Linked DNA regions of Mytilus edulis. The protein of the gene in region 1 purifies or fractionates together with the protein of each later gene. This does not show direct contact. Links are inferred from orthologs where the notes say so. Each region holds a gene or a part of one and is shown in the gene's direction. Other genes may lie near its edges.

Evidence for each region.
Region 2: the proteins of nudC domain-containing protein 3-like (region 1) and kelch-like protein 9 purify together in Homo sapiens (co-immunoprecipitation; 3 studies listed by BioGRID and IntAct, with this or other methods). This does not show direct contact. The link is inferred for Mytilus edulis from reciprocal best matches to the Homo sapiens genes NUDCD3 and KLHL9.

Annotation. Positions count from the first base shown.
Region 1 is NC_092352.1:85,867,301-85,876,493, reverse strand, and holds the start of nudC domain-containing protein 3-like, read left to right. Parts: upstream 1-5,269; 5' UTR 5,270-5,362; coding exon 5,363-5,469; intron 5,470-9,193.
Region 2 is NC_092346.1:2,233,305-2,242,059, forward strand, and holds the start of kelch-like protein 9, read left to right. Parts: upstream 1-5,256; 5' UTR 5,257-5,388; intron 5,389-8,228; 5' UTR 8,229-8,239; coding exon 8,240-8,432; intron 8,433-8,755. Other genes in the region: kanadaptin-like, read right to left, coding at 395-1,054.

The DNA of each region.
Region 1 (9,193 bases):
AAGACAGTAGGAACAGATCTGAGAGTACTCGCAGTTATCTGACAGCTAGTTCAAAGCCACTAACAACTAATAAAAAAATCAGCAGTATATTGAGAAAATTCTTGATTATTTAACGAAAAAATATCATCAAGATAACGGTAATTGTTGTTGAATTTATCAATTAAATGCGATTTCGACAGGTCTTTATTGAGTTTAGTCATAAACTGTGATTAGTAACAGTACAAAAACAAGTCTGCTTTTAAAGGGGCACAATTAGTACCCATGGGGATACCTACAACCTGTCGATAAACTTTTTTCCTGACTTGGTACAGGACATTCTAAGAAAAGAAATGGTGGGTGTAACCTGGTTTGGTGGCTAGCCAAATCTCCCGCTTTTATGGCAATATTAAATGTAACATTAAAATGACAACATTGCATGACAGGACTACAATACAAACAAATGGGAGAACATATAGGACAGAGAAACACACAAATAATAGCTAACAAAAGGTACCAGGTTTATATTTTAATATTTTACAAGACGCGCTCCTCGTCTACAAAAGACTAACCAGTGACGCTCAGATCAAAAAAGTTCGAAAGCCAAAACAAGTACAAAAGTTTTGCTCAACATGGTCAAGGTTTTCTGCCTGGGATAAGAACATCCTTAGTATCTAAAATAATTCATACTTTTGTAAACAGTTAGTTAATAAAAGTGACAATGTATATAAGAGAGATACATGATAACATCAACTGGAAGTGGTGACTAACTACAGAATAAAAACAAATACATAAAACAACCTAAACCAGCACATAAAAAGTCACAGCCGAGTTAGCCGAAGAGATCGACGCACAAAGTGACGTCACATTTGAATTTCTAAAAAATAAAAGGGATAGAATTAGGATAGAATTCAAAAAGTAAAATCACAAAAATACTGAACCTAGAGGAAAATTAATTTGGAAAGTCCATAATCACATGGCAATTTCAAATAACAAAACGCATAAAAAACGAATGGACAAGAACTGTCATATACCTGACTTGGTACAGGCATTTTCAAATGTAGAAAATTGTGGATTATAGTGCTAACCCTTTCACTTTGATGACAGTCTCATCAAATTTCGTTATATTTACATTGATGCGCTAACTATTAAACAGACACAATAAATAAATAGTTAAAATATGGGTACATCAGTCATCATCGTATAACAATTTTAAAATGGACAATTTAACAGAACACAAAAACTTCTATCTACAAACACATTCATTGATTTGTGTGTCTGACGTCAGAAAATTTTATACGTCACATAAATTTGTCGTTCAATGTGCATGCAAACAATTTTCAAACAAAATTTTAAAATTTACATAGGCAATGTTAGCATATAGGGTTAAAAAACAAAAGTTTTTAAGAATAAATATCAGAAATAGACCGAGATTGAAAATAGTCCAAAAGTTATGTATAGAATTTATAAAAATCCACAAATAGTTAATTCCACTATCAGTCATCATCGTATAACAATTTTAAAGGAACTATTTAACAGAAAACTGTAGCAGGAACAATTCTGCTGAAGATTCGGGGATGCGGACCACAGCTTGGTCTGGTTTGTGAATTTAATTGTACGGAAACGACTGATGCCAAATGTAATGCGCTAAAGTATATCTGAGTAAATAAAAACCAAAAACAGTGAAAACAATATATAATTTAATCAACAAAGTACAACTTTTATTATGTAGAGCCAAATGTATGAAGAAATGGAGCATTCAATTATTTCATATTACCCGGGCTGTGGAGGTATGTAGCTAACGCACTAACCTTAACGGTAGTTGGAAAGTTTAGCTTTCCTTGGTTGGACTGACAATCAGTCCTCAGAATATTCGACACAATAATCAAATACCAGTTATATAAAATATATTTATATATAAATTTCTCACAGAAGGTAACCAAAGATTTTGCAACGATGCAAATATCAAACTTTACAATACAAATAAATATCTTTAACCAATGAATTCAAATAGCAAAAGCTATGCGATTTAACAAATATGTACTGAATAAGCTTCATGTAAATCCTTAAATAAAGAAATATGAAATTTATAGTTTTAAAAAAGGGAAATAATAATAACATAATAATCCCAACTGCCACAAAACAAAAACAGCTATCTACAAACACATTCATTGATTTGAGTGTCTGACGTCAGAAAATTTTATACGTCACATAAATATTTCGTTCAATGTGCATGCAAATAATTTTAAGATTTACATAGGCAATGTTAGCATATAGGGTTAAAAAATCAAAAGTATGTAAGATATGGTGTGTAATACTGCTATAGCATTTATTATTTACAATGAAAATTACAATGCTTATAAATATAAAATTGTAACAAAGCATATTTTCAAGGGCTTTAAATTAAAGCAACAGTTACGGTAGTTTATCGATGTTTAAATATCCTAAATCGATCAAGAAGAGGCAAATTAAGGTAAAACACAAAAAGGGGGAATCCGATATACTAAGAATATAACTGATCAAGACCGTGTCAGTGAACAGGGTAAACACCTCCTGCTATGCATGCATCGCCCACCATGCACGTATGTATACACTGTCAAAATGTCATAACCGGAAAATTACAAAACGACTATATACTGGTATCTAGTTTCTAAAACTCACAAAATCTGAATTCCTCAATTTACATCTAAAATTTCTCGTGAACATCCAAGGTCTAAAAGCGCAGGAAAAGGAATGAAGAAATGGGACATTTAAAACAAACAAGTCGAAAAACATTAAAAAGAAAACTTGCGCCTGAGCAGCACGAATCCTTACCAAAAACCGAGGGTGATTATCCGGCATCAGATTATTAGGACCGGTCCACATGTGGAACCCATCGTGTTGCTCGTGTAGTAAGTCAGCAAAATATATAAATGTCACAATCGAAATAAAAGAGGACATAGCTGTATTTTCGACTATTGGAACAATAAGTTGTCATGTTACCAAATTGTCAACCAGCTGATGGTGTCCACAAAATTCTATGTTATTTAATTGGTTATCAAAGGTACCAGGATTATAATTTAGTACGCCAGACGCGCGTTTCGTCTACATAAGACTCATCAGTGACGCTCATATCAAAATATTTATAAAGCCAAACAAGTACAAAGTTGAAGAGCATTGAGGATCAAAAATTCCAAAAAGTTGTGCCAAATACGGCTAAAGTGATCTGTAACTGGGATTAGCACTCTTCTATAAAGACAGTCACTACCATCGTTCCATTTGTTATGAGGCCTGAATTTACAAAATTTTTGTATTGAAGAACACCATGAAATCGAAATGTAGAGGTCTTGAAATATTTGAAGTCAAATTATCATGGTAGTTTTACTGAGTCAGGAATATGACAATTGTTGACAATCGTTTGATGGGTTTGAGCTTTTGATTTTGCTATTTGATTATTAAAGGACTTTGCGTTTTGAATTTTCCTCTGAACGCAGTATTTTGGTGATTTTAATTTTTCCCACTTCCCACACACCTGAGACTACTATTATAGATTATAGTAGTCTCAGCACATCCCTTGCAATTCTATGTCTCATTGTTCTATTTATCTAACCTACTGATTATTCACTCACCCAATTCATCAATTGCAACTATTCATAATAGCTCTACTGCAAGGCCAGATTATCTCATACACCGACATTCTGCCTCTCTCACTCTCCCATTAACACTGTCTCTCACTCATTCACGAACACATTCGGCAAAACACTTGCACAGGCATTTTTTTTATTTGCAACCACCCACATATTCAATTGTCAATCTTTCATTATTCCACTTTCCCAGTTAATCTCTTGCCCAACTTTCTAACAATTAAAATGGCTATAAAAATACAAAAGTTCTACTCCCTCAGGACAGTCCATCGGATAGGACACAACATTCTAACATTTTCTAAGAACGGTTGGTATCCATCCATTCCGTTTTACTGTACTTGAACTGAATGAATTTATGAATGCCCATGCTACATCGATCTTTAAAGACCGATTACATGTGTGCCAATCAGCTGTCCTATACTTCCAGGATAAATACGTGGTTGTCCCCGCATATAAAACCGTAAAGAGTTAAAGTAAATAAAATGACAATTCACATGGAAATCAATATATTCCCGTGACACTCGACTAGTTGGAAATTCTGATTAATCATAGATCTTTCTATAGAAATTTCAATCAAAGACTAATAATTAACTGGATCTTCTTTTACTGTATTGAATACGTTAAGAATATACGGTGAGGTTTTGGAATTTGTGTCAAATGTTCGGACTCCTTGGGTTTTTTTCTTTACAATACAATGGAAAATATTTTGCCCCATAACACTCACTTATTTTTTCATATAAGACTAAATAGCTGATGAAAGGTCATTTAGCAAAATTTTAAAAGATTCTTGATTTTCTTTCTTTTGTTTGAGACCCAAATAATACCAATGCAAATATAAGGTAAAAGTCTGAGTCAGCCTTTTCCCGACATATTCTAAATCTCAAATCAGTGGCGGATCCAGAACTTTTCATAAGGGGGGCCCGCTGACTGACCTAAGAGGGGGGGGCTCCAGTCATGCTTCAGTGATTCCCTATATAATCAACCAAATTTTTCCCACAAGGGGGGGGGGGGGGGGGGCGGGGGGGCATGATCCGCCTATGCAAATATCTCGAAAAGGAGGTCCATGACCTATCCAGGTTCCAGATAATGTATGATATTCAACAAACTTATCATATAATTTGTCTTGTCTTGATAATATCAAATAATTTAATTTTGGATGTAACGCGTCTTCTGATTGGCTGACGTTATTTTTTTATCAGCCCATAGACATAATTTAGTCATGTAACCGTGAAGTCATCAACGTTTTTTCATGGTTTTCGAAATAACATAAAATAAAATGTAGAGCACACTGTTAAATAACCCGCTACGCGCGTTATTCACCAAATTTTTTATGTTATTTCTTCATAGACAGAAAAAGTATTACAGTCATTCCTTAAATAATTTCAGTACTGAAATATCCATCTTTACTAGTCACTCATTACATAGTACATAAAGTAACTGTCGATGTTTTCAGGGGCGGATGCAGGAATTTTCGAAAGGGGGGGGGTGCTAACCCAGGGCACCCAGGGCAAAGGGGGGTGCAAAACATATGTCCCGATACAAATGCATTGATCGGCAAAAATAAAGGGGGGTGCGCACCCCCGGAACCCCCCCCCCCCCCCCCACCCCTGGATCCGCCACTGGTTTTGAAGTGATCCATGGTTACTTACGAGTGCTCCTTTTAGGAGGAACGTATATGGAACAATAACAATGACCGTTGATACACGGGTGTCTTTCCCCGTTAGTGTGTTGTCCGTTAAAAAATAAAAATAAGACGAATTACGATGGACGATAAAAACCAACAATATGATAACCTTTTGATTGGAATTCTTCAAAATGAAGGCAATATTTCTGGATTTCTTGACGCGGTATTTGGTTTTTTGTTTAGAAGGTTTGCATAAATATTTTTTTTTATCTTTTTGGCAACATCATATAACACAGGCACTTGTTTCCTTGCTTCTATCCATAGGAAGGTCGATTATGGATAGTGGACCTTCCTATGGGTAGAAACAAGTGCCTGTGCATCATAGCCTGCATAAGTATAGCAATCACTTTTCAGTTCATTTGCAGATCTGATCAGGAGCTCTTGTGGTTTGTTTTTGACAATTTGCAGTCCATACATGTAGTTCTTAAATAACTAGTTAAAATACTCAAATTGTCAAAAAAAAAATATAATAAATTTTGGGCAAAGAGCTACAGAAGGAAGAAACACTTAAAAAAAATGCATATGATTCAATATGATTTTGTGGTTATTCAACATTAAATTGATTAATAATATTTTTTTTCAATCTGTTCAAAATAAATACTAATCTACAATGTACATGATCTAATCATAAAAAGTTTGATTTAAAAAAAAAAAAGTATTGTTCCTGTCAAAATTTGCAATTTTTAGTTTTTGTTTAGTTATAGAATACTTAAATGACTTATAAGAAGGCATACATATATAAACATGGTGACATCCCATTAGTCCGACAGCCATTATTACGACAGCCCTTTACTCCGACAGCCCACTATTCCGACAGCCCATTACTCCGACAGCCTATTATTCCGACAACCCATTACCCTGAAAGCCCATTATTTCGACAATGCATTTTTCTTATGTGTATGGGTAAATTTTCTCTAAAAAGACCAACTCCGTTCTCTATGATATGTGTGGTTGTCCGTCTTGATTACAATTATTCTTTTCATGCGGGATATTTGTCTCAGTATATTGGAGTTGATACACATGCTTATAGCAACTGCTCAGTCCTTACCCTCGTCCCACTTTCGTTTTACATGTCTAGGTACTTTATTTATATTTATATTTCGTTGTTTGTGTGTCACAACCGTCTGTGCTGTTCTAGTTCGCTATTTTTTGCATGTTCGTCTTGGTCTACCTTCTTTAACTAGATCTTCGGTTTCTGCTTTTCATGTATCAGGGGAGTGAGGTTTCCCCCACTATTAACAGTCAGGGGACTTACTGAAATAAGTGATTTTTAAATCACTTGTTTGAGTAGCAAATTCGAAGTTTTGTCACAAATTGTGATTTTGTAGTTTTACCAAAATTTTAAACACATAGGTTTAAAAAATATCTTTTCATTAGTAAAATTGAAAAAAAATATGTATTTTTTCCTTCTTTTAAGTATCAAGGTTTATGCCTTTGATGCTTTCATTTAGCTGCAAATTCTATTTTAGTTGAAAAAATACTATAATAATGGCTTTACATAATGAACTGATACTTTCTTAACAGATTTTTCCCAGGAGTGGGAGTATTTTTCCTGTAAAGTTCAAGGTTTTATCTTTCAGATTATGTAATAAAATTCTACTGTTCCCAATAAAAATTTCACTGTTCAGGGGTGTTGAAATTAGTGGGGGTTGTATAAAACAATGATACTTAAAAAAGTGATTTTTGGGAAGGAAATTGAGGTATGATACTTAAACAAGTGATTTTTATGTCATTATGTAGATTCAGTACAAGGTCATCACCTGAAATGACCTGGTCATCCTAGACAACACAGATGTTGGTTCTGATAAGTTTAGAAACATAATTAGTCCCTGGATCATTAGTATTCTATATTTAAAGCTACAGTAAAATTAAATCACTTCTTCTAGTGATTATTTTGTACTACTTAATTAGGTGATTATTAAAGAAAGACAACTCTTACTTTCAACCTTTATGGAAATAATGTTACTTGAATCAGTGATTTAGAAAATCACTCATTTAAGTAAGTCCCCTGACTGATTAACTACATAAATGAATATATCGGAGTTGGATAACACTATCCGCCCTCTTTGGTTGCAACACTTTCTCTCCTTGTATAACGCATCTGAGTTTTATTTAAATTAATTTTGTAGCAGAAATAACGGACTAATGTAGCGTCAGTCAGTCTGTCAGTCAAAATGGGAAAAACAAAGAGACAAATACATAACCAGATCTGTAAAAATAAGAATACAAACAGGACAAAATATGTGCTCAGAAAAGATGAGCAATTCCAATTAAATGTATGAATACGGTAACATGTTCGGGAATGTGAATCCACGATATACGGAGATACAATGTAGTGCACAGCACTTCCAATAGCGATTGATCAGACATAGTCTGGGAGATGAAACTCAATATATTTGTAGGGATACCGATTTTATACCCTGAGCTTATTTTGAAATCTAGAAAAATATGTCTCTTTTATTATGGTTGGTGGAGATGCAGGAATGATGATTTACAACAAAACTTATTACGAAAAACAAATATGACGGACATGAATATTTCGGCAACTTCTATCTAAATATTTATAAGGAAAAGTGATATCGGGTCAGTGAAATTCAATGTACATGTATATGTCATAGAAATATACAGTCAACGCATTTTGACTGCTCAAATCGAATGAGTACAGTATAAAAGCCAAAAACAAACTAGTAAAAAATCTAAGATAATGTGTGACATTCTTGTACCTCTTGTCTTTGACAAATTGTCTAATTTTAAAAACTTAGTACATTATGTGTTTTGTTGGAAACTTGACACTTGTTTTTCTTTTGAAGATTGTTTTCAAGAAGAAAGAAATGTTTAGATATTATTGATTTTAAGAAAGGTAGTTCATATCTTAATTCAGAATCGGTGCTCTTCCATTACATTAAGAATTGAAAATGCTAGATACTAAAAAAATTGTATTGTACAGCTGATAAAGTTGAGGATGAGCGTCATTTTTCAATCCAATGCTCACTTCATAATAATTTGAGGGAGGAACTCTTTCACCATATTTCTAGCACATGTAAGAACTTTAAAAAGTAGATATAAGTATGATGAATTTTCGATGTTAACACAAGAAAAGTTTACTATTATGGGGGAAATGATGATTACATTGTTAATTCTTTTAAATTATATAGTGTCTTGATACTGACTGTTATTTGATATCAGTGTGTTAGTTGTTTTTTATCTATTTTGTCTTGGCTCCGATTGTGACTGAGGCTTATAGTGCTATAAAGATAATTATATCATATTAGTATTGTAATGTCTTAATGTTGACCCAATCATTAGACTGCCGCTTCGAAAAAGTGGAGGTGCACTGTTTTACCTCTGTCTGTCCGTCCATCCAACCGTCAGTTCGTCCGTCTGTCCCATAAATATTTTCGTTGCATGTTTTTCATGAACTACATGTACATTACAAGGATTTCTGAAAGGTTTATTGAAATCGGCTATATCCTGTGATGCGTTTTCAAATTCATTACTCATTACATGACAGCCAAGTTGAAAATTGTCGTCACATTTTTGTCAGGAACGACAATACAATGATTTTTGAAATTTGGTTTCAAAGTTTATAAAAGTCAGTTATCATGGTTATACTGTGTGATGCATTTTCAGATTCACAACTCAAAAACTTCCTGTCTACCGAAATGTTTGGGCGGGGGTATCATCAGTAGCTTGTACCATCAATGGTTGTTCTTGATTTATATGCTCTTTAAAGATTCTTGAATGTGAAAATGAAATATTCTTTTCTGTTATATTCTATATACAGATTTTGAATTGAGTATCTAGAAAGTATTCGAACTACCTTAGCCTTATGTTATACATATGGGGTTATTTCTTAAAATATGTTATTACATATTTAAACGTAATAATACAGAAAGACAAATTTTGTTTT
Region 2 (8,755 bases), on another chromosome or scaffold:
TGTACAGGTAGATCAACAAACCAGACAGGAGAATACTATCTGATGATAGACGATCCATTTGTCGAATTAATCAACTAAGTTTCAGCAAATGATTATGATAATTTAGATTAAATAAATAAATTAATAATCCAGTTACAAAGAAAACAGTTTAACAAGTCGAACATGTGCTTTATTTTGACTTACGCAATCAGCATCCCCCTTTTTTGAGAAGTACAAAATAAGACGCAAAACTAAATATTATTTCATCGCAAATAACTCGAGAACTGCTGTAACGATAATTTAGAATTCCTACACTGTTTGTAATGGTGAAAGTTCCTCCATTGTTCAATTTTCATCCATGGAGATCCCTGTATAACAATGATGACCCTGTAGGAAATCAAGTTATGTATATTACCTGTAAAATATAAAGCCTTGAACTGCCTCCAAATTTCAGTACATGACCAACATGTACACGATAGTATCTGTTAGCATACACTCTATTTTTATTTATCCATGTTCCATGAGTACTGTCAAGATCATAAAGATACCAGCCAATGTTCTGCTTTTCAGATTTTATTTTAGAAAATTGAAGAACAGCATGATGTCTTGACAATGACGGATGTTCCATTGTAACATCACAACTTTGCAGTCTTCCAAACACATAAAACGATTTGACTAAATCTATTTTGTCAATAATGACCCCATTTTTCAAAACTTCAAGACTATATTTGTCATTACTAATTCCTCCCCAAGATGGCTCCTTGTACGGAATAGGTGTTGATGTCTCTTTCAGTTGTTCCGCTGGGGATAATAGGCTCAGTTTGTTTGGGATAGTTCCTTTGTCGTCAGTTTTATCTATGGCTTCTGTAGTGCCATTATTGGGTTCTAATGTGCTAGTAGCTATTTCATTTTGTTTATATGTTACTATGCCTGGGACTTTGAATGTATGTGTTTCCGCCATTTCGACAGGGACAGTGTTCTTTTCTGGTTGTTTTTCGTCACCACAAGTTTCAAACTGTGTACCAAGTTCACCATTAGCGGTCTTCGACAAATCACCAACGTTTTCTTCGGCCATGATTTTTGGAATTATCTCCCTTTGGCGTTTTCAAGTCCCTTGTGTACTCAGACAAAAACATCTGCGTTTTCCATTTGACATTAGACTGGTATAAATAAAAGATCAGAATAAATACAAAAATCAAATTAAAAACACTGTCAAGTATCAATTAAACACAAATGTATACCGTTAAAATATGTGAACTATGTTCTAAGCGGCAAATATAGGGTGCGTTCTAAAAATCCTTCTTGGGCGCATTAGATTCATACACATTAAAAAACATTTAACGCGAACATATTTTTATGAATAATTAGGTAGCCAGCCATAAGTTCACAAAATCAATTCTTTCGGTATTTAAAGAGTTCAAACAACCAGTATGAACATCCAAGAATAATAGTCTGATTGTTTGATTGGAATGTCGGAGGTGTACTGGTAAATTTGTAAACATTTAAATTTGAGAACCGTTTTCAATAGCATTTCCAGCAAAAGTAAATATAAAAAACTACAATTCAAATAAGTGAGTATAATGAGAAAATACTACAACAGATAAAATGTACGCCTATATAAGGCAGCAACCATTTGATTTTCGGGGGGGGGGGGGGGGGGGGGGCTATGTTTTTTTTTTGGAAAAAAAGTTTGTTTCCAGTTTTTTGAGAAAAAAATAATTTGTTTTTGATTCTGAGAAGAAAAAAATTGTTTGTTTCACCCTCAGCTGCCACTATATGTTATGCTAAAATTGAAAGAAAAAAATGGTTTTCGACTTGTCGTGAAAAAAAAAAATGTCCAGAAAAAAAAACCCATAGCCCCCCCCCCCCCCCCACCCCGAAAATCAAATGGTTGCTGCCTAACAATTGAAGTTTTTATACATACTTGTAAATTATTTTGTATCTTGCATATATATATATACTATATAGTCATCACAGTTCACTATTTGTTCACTACATGTTAAGTCGAAAGCTTCTTCCTAGGACGAGAAAGACTCCGGTGCCGGAGTGTGGAATATTTTGGAACTGTGGCGCTATCTACATGAAAATGGAGGTCGAAAATTGTGATAAAATTAAAATTAAATGATTTGCCACAGTTCAATTACAATTAAATTAACATTTGTTGTAGCTTTATGTTAAACATATTCACATTATGTACAGTGGCTTAAATACAATAGTTAATTAGCCAGACAGGATCCTCAAAATATTAGATTGAAGATACCATGATTCTCAGGGAGAGTGACATACAAATTGCCTCCCGGAGATCATTCCAAACAGCAATAGTGCTTGGGGGAAAGATGACTCAAAATAGTCTTTATGTAGGCCGAAACTTGTGTTGTCTTCTAGTACGCCTGTCATATTGTGCCAGGTAGTCATTATTGAATTCAACAAACAACAGATAACAGCAAACGTAACAAATGAGCAACACGAGCCCAATTAACACAAGAACTTGGGCCGAGTTCTGCTGGTAAAGGTAGATGAGGTGTTCTTGTCGGGTACAGGACAAATCGGCTCCAGGTCAATTCGTTACCAATAGAAAAGTCAAACGTGGTTAGTCAATTTTTCTTTCCATTTAATTTGAGTATAATAGCCATTTTGTTCATAAATAAATAAAGATTTTTGAAAAAAAATAGAGTTTGTTTGCTGTTTAAAATTTACTCAATGATCTTATTCATGATAATTCGTCCTTAGGTATAACAAGATGCGGTATAAGTGCCAATGAGACAACTCTCCATCCAAGTTACAATTTGTAAAAGTAAACGGCTATATGCCAAAGTATGGTCTTATTAATAATTGATTTTAAAAACTTCCAAATTTATATCAAGCAAAAAAAAGATTAACCAAATTGTTGTTTTAACTATTTTGAGGTAGTTTTTGATGTTTTATTACTACTAAATTACAAATTTCCATTGGAACTTCTGTTATGCATGACACATAACTTGTTGATTTATTATATAAAAAAAAAATTAATTTACTTGCAAAACGTAATGTTAATTTTAGCTGCCGAAATCACTACCTTGCGTGCCGAATTAACCGGGTCCTAATTAGACTAGATGCTGAATTGACCATATTTGGTGTTGATTTGACGAGGAATTCTAGTCGGCATTTCGGCACCAGATCAAATCGGCACCCAGTTTAGTCAAATCGGGAATTAGTTAATTAAGCACAGAAGTTACTTATTTCGGCACCTTTGATTAATTGTATGTTTTGCAAGTAAACATTTCGCGACGACGCTTTAATAACTCCGGTTGTGCAAATTAAAAAAAAATTACCGGCCCAAAAAGCGGCCATGCCGTTTCTAAAAGACGGAGAAATCCGCCGAAGAGCCGGGAGATCAAAGGAAAAAACTGGAGATGAAAAAAAATAGATTAAATACAACTTTGACAAAATTGAAGAAAATGGTAATAGACACAGAAGAGAGTACTGACAGTAAAGCATGGAAAGACGGAAGAAGAATTGTGAAGCTTTAAAGTCTGGCAAAAGCGCTGAAAAATTGTCAAAACTGCACGGCCGAGCTGAATCTGCTCAACGTAGAGAAAGAAAAATTACAAGGACGTGGGAGCTATCTTACTATTCGTTGCTTTAAGTGTAATATGCTGAATAACAATTTAACAAATAAGACACATTACGGAACAAAAGGACCTGCTATTTTTACATCAACACAAAAGCTGCAATAGCTAATTATGAGTATTAATACATGTAGCTGCTTAACGTCCAGCGGCAAATATTTAATTGCACATTTATGACATCAACATGTTATTTTAATGAAACTAAAAGAAATGAGAAAACGTATATGCACCCGTGATTAATTAGAAATTTTAACAAAATCTATGGCGCATATGGTGGTTGAATCGGGTCTGGTTTTGGAAGATTTGAAATATATGCATAAAAGTAATTACTACCGTGGTGTGCAGTAAGTTCAAACCGAAAGACATTATAAATGGAACTCCAAGAGTTACAGACAAAACAACTATCCTCAACAAATTTGTGCAATATTTTTCATGACGAGAACAGTTATTTTCATTCATTGATAATGAAGTCTATAATACTATCTTGAAAGGAAAAAAATCAGAATCAAAATATTTTTTATTTTTCATGCCAGTATAGCAAATTATATAGAGAATTGTCATTGTACGGCCAAATTTAACAGAATATCAATAAAATAAGAAAACCGACTGCATGTGCGAGACCCTCATGGGTGGACAAGGTCGTATAACACCCCTATTCGTAAATAAAATAATAAATAAAGAGAGCGTCTCATCCTGTTCTGGACTTGAAATTGGTACATAAAAAAATTGCCGAGTTTAATTGATATTTTAAAAATATATGATACTATATGTATGTAGAAAATCTGTCAACAAAAGTCCGTTTACAAGATTTCAAAAAAATATATTGGTATCATTTTTTGGTTTGATTTTAAGCAAATTGGTACCAATAGATGCAGAATTGTCACAGGTTAGTTTGTTTAATTGGTTGTATTTTTTGCGTCATTGGTAATCATACCACGTCTTCTTATTTGTATAAACATATCCCTATTGTACTTCAACATATTGAGAGTTCAAAATTAAGGTATCGGCAAATGTTCACTTATCTTAGACAGACAGACCAGAAAGTGTATATATACACACGTTAAAACTCGTCGCTGTTGTCAAGCTAATGAGCAAATATGAACTCATTCAGTGAGGTTGTTTCTGAGAAAAGGAACAAACATATTGTTATACGATCAAACAGCTCTACTTCTAAAGTAAACAAACGAGTAAGACTATAATCATACATATACGCCGTATAAAAGGTAATGTAACTTATCTATTGATAAAGACATCGTTCAATATTATTCCGTCTAATACCGGCTGCTGTACTTCCTATGAAATGTTATACTACAACTTCATTTTCCCTCGTTTCAATCCGTCTGAGCGTCATTATTTTTGATATACTTGTCGTATATTAATTTTGAGAAATATAATGAATTATATCAAATATGCATATAGCTGAGAAAATCCCGGTTTATCTGAAAATTCTGAGAAAAATCCGGATAATCTGAAAAAAAATCGAGATAATCCCGGGTTTATCGGAGCTTAATGTAAAATACTGAGAAAATCATAGTTTATCTGAGAAAATCATACTTTATCTGAGATAATCTATGATTGATTATCTATAAAATGGGTTCAGATGTGCCATATCTATCACTTCACAATTTTTATAGAACGCAACGTTGATGTTTACATTTTTCCCGGACACCGGGTTCAGTACACATGCAAAATTTGCATGATGTCATTTCCGATAGTGCTGTCGGTCATGGTCATCCGTCATGGGCTGAAAATAAAGATGACAGTGTTTACAAAGCTTAAGATACATGTGTAGGATGTTAATGTAAGCAGTCACAAGCATTTTATGCTATATGAGACGTTTCAAGAGCTGATAAATGCGGTCAAAGCCATTTTTCAGTCTCCTTAACGTTAATAATTTATTGGATGCAACTTCTCTGCAAAGTGACTTCATAAAGTGATTTTAGATTTCCCCTGGGTTATTTTCATCATATATCCATCCTGTATACTATATCTTACTTCTGCTTTGCCAACTTTGTATTGGGAATTTATAGACTTAAGTTATTTTTTGTCTGTTCAGATGTGTCATCCTGAAGTTCTAGTTATTTGAGCTACAAATAAGTTAGATATTGCCATTAAAAGTCTGAACATTGTTAACTTGGGAAGTTTAAACCTTCAGTTGTTGATTTTATAGACTCACTTGAGCTTGTAGTTGTATATCCTCAATCCTCAATCTTGAGGCCTGTTGGCACGAATTGTCCCAATGTGCAGTTTTCCTCTCTGGTGCGTTTTCCTCAACGTATTTTCTTCTTTGTGCTTTAAATTGGTATGCGCTGGTTAAGATTGGAATTGATGAACAGCAGTATTAAATCTGCCTGTTCTGTCGATGTAATGTGGCACTGTTTGTAGTTTGGCTTTTGTGTAAAGGAGTAAGTTTGGTAAGTGCCATATTTGGCCCCAATTATAAAGTTCATGGTTACAAGACAAAAATTGTTTTAAGTTGCCTTAAAGACATGTGAAAAAGTTAAACAGAGCTGTTTTTGTCAAAGTTTAATTCTAACACAACGATTTTTACATTCCAAAACGGTCAAGATAAGGGATTTTGGTGAAATTTGACAAAATCAGCGGGATTTCAACCAAATAAAGGACCAGGAAACATAGAGCACAGGCGTCGACAAGCTTAATATTCAAATAAGACATGTTAAATGTCTTCACAAACATTATTTTAAGGGGGTTCGCGGGTCTAAATCATTTATATAGGATTTCTCTATATTTTTCTATAAATGAACTTTATCTTAGAGTTAACAGAAAAATAAAATAAAAAAGTGGGGTCACCGTTCATTTGCGCTCACAATCTGCCTTCGAAAGAAGCATACATTTTTGTAAAGGTGTTTTTTTTCTGTTGAAGTAATAGGAGAAATAAAGGTAATATCGAAAAAAAAAGAAAGAAATTTATTACAGAAATCGCTCAAATTTTACAATAATTTAGTTTAAGTACAGCTTATATGGAAATTATATTAAAAAATATAGGTCACCGATGAGTTAAAAAAGACATTTCAATTTTAAAGCCAAAAAATGGCATTTTTCCACCAAAGGGAGATAATTTGGAACTTTTTCAATGATGTATACATTTTAAAAGTCATCTGGGGCCAACAAAAATTGTTTGTTTTGAATGATTTTTGTACCATATGATAAGTAACAACTACAAAAGGTAACAAATAAAAATTTGAAATGAAAAACAAATGTTTATTTTTTTTCTGAAATTTTTATACCCTCGAGCCTCCTTAAAAGATCTTTGTTGTCGACGTATGTGCTCTATGTTTCCTGTCAAATAATCTTTGGAATTTTACCCATTTTCATTGATTTTTTCGTGAAAAATCAGTATGAGTACAACTTGTGACGTCATAATGAAACGCAGAAACGTAAAATTTTAAACAAAATGGCTTATTTCCTATCTAGTCAATGTATTAGCTATAATTTATCGTGATATTGGTCAATAAATCCGAATTTGAAATTTACGCTAAAAAAGTGGGCCATTTTAGGACCTTATCGAACATACTCCTTTTAAAGTTGTTTATTAAATTTCCATTATCTTATAACATGTATAATCCCCAATATTGTAAATTATTTTCCACCAAATGATCCCTGCCATTGATAATTATTGCATTATGATCATGACGACCCTTCGAAAGCATGAAATGTTTTAGTAATGCTAATGAAAATATAGATTAAGATACAAAATCTTAATTCTATTACAAAGAAAAAGGTTCAACAAATCATACATGTGCTTTTATTGATTTACACAGTAATCCATTAGCTCCCGTTTTTTAAAACAGAACATAATAATAACAATTATTGACCATTATAAATCAACATAGTAGTTAAAAAGTAAATACCTGATTATTAACTGCAACTTGCTGTAACTTGATAATCTGAAGAAATTCCATTACATGATATATACATGTCATAATTCAGAATTCATTTCGTAGTAAACAATCAAATAAATACTCCTGTTTACATTCAGAATTGCATGGTTTAAATGTATTACTATCATGACTATGGAATTTGCAATTTAAAACTGACATTATAACCATTTCAATTTTAAACTTTTGCCCTTCAGAAATCAGTATTCATCTTTTAACAGGTATGAAACTTCTTGTCATTAATGATTTGCATCAATCCTCAGTTTGTGAATTCTTTATTGGATTTGCCAATACTACTAAGGGGATGGTTGACAGAAAACTGAGCCTCATTTTGAAGTCCTAACATATTTACCAAAATAGCTGGAAAATGACTGCCAAACTCCTGACAGGAAAAAAAAATTGATGCTAACTTGGATAACTATGTTAAGGCCAAATAAAAATATGTGTGGTTCCAGTGACCCTACCTTCCCTACTTTTTTGTCTTGAAATTAGCCTACCCTAAAGATTTTATTGTCATTTTTCATTAAGCACTGTTAAAGTCAGAATGAAGCTCCCATAGACTCAAGGTAAAAAAAAACCATAAAATTAAAAAAAATCCCTACCTTCCTACCCTAACTTTTTTTCAGATGTAACTGGAACCAGGGTTTCAGCTAGGATTTTGAAACCTTTACTAATGTCCCTGGATTAAAAATTACATAATGTACATGATAATATGAATGCATAGTTATCTTTTTCTTTACAGAATGGGGTTAAATGAACCAAGTTGATTGTTCAGCTACAAAGAAACTAAAATTATCCAATATGGCTGAAGAAATTGCTCAAGATAGCCCTGCTATTGAAGTGTGTCGTGTGGAGGAAAGACCTGAGCATGGAATGATGATATTACAAGGCCTCAACAAACTCAAAAATGATAAAATTCTTTGTGATGTTACACTAATTGCTGAAGGTTAATTATATTATATTTATTAGTATGTACAAGTCAGATGTTGTTTAAAAACAATATAATTAAGAATGGAAATTGGGAATTTCAAAGAAACAATAACCTGACCAAAGAGCAGATAACAGCCAATGGCCACCAATAGGTCTTCAATGCAGCGAGAAAATCCTGCACCCGGAGGTTGGCCTCAATACATGTAGAAAATCCTGCACCCGGAGATGGGCCTCATATATGTCAAAGATCACCACTATCAACATTCAATATATTTATAGGCTGATAGATAAATTATATGGTTCTTGAACATTGAAAACTTTGACTGCACAAAATAAATT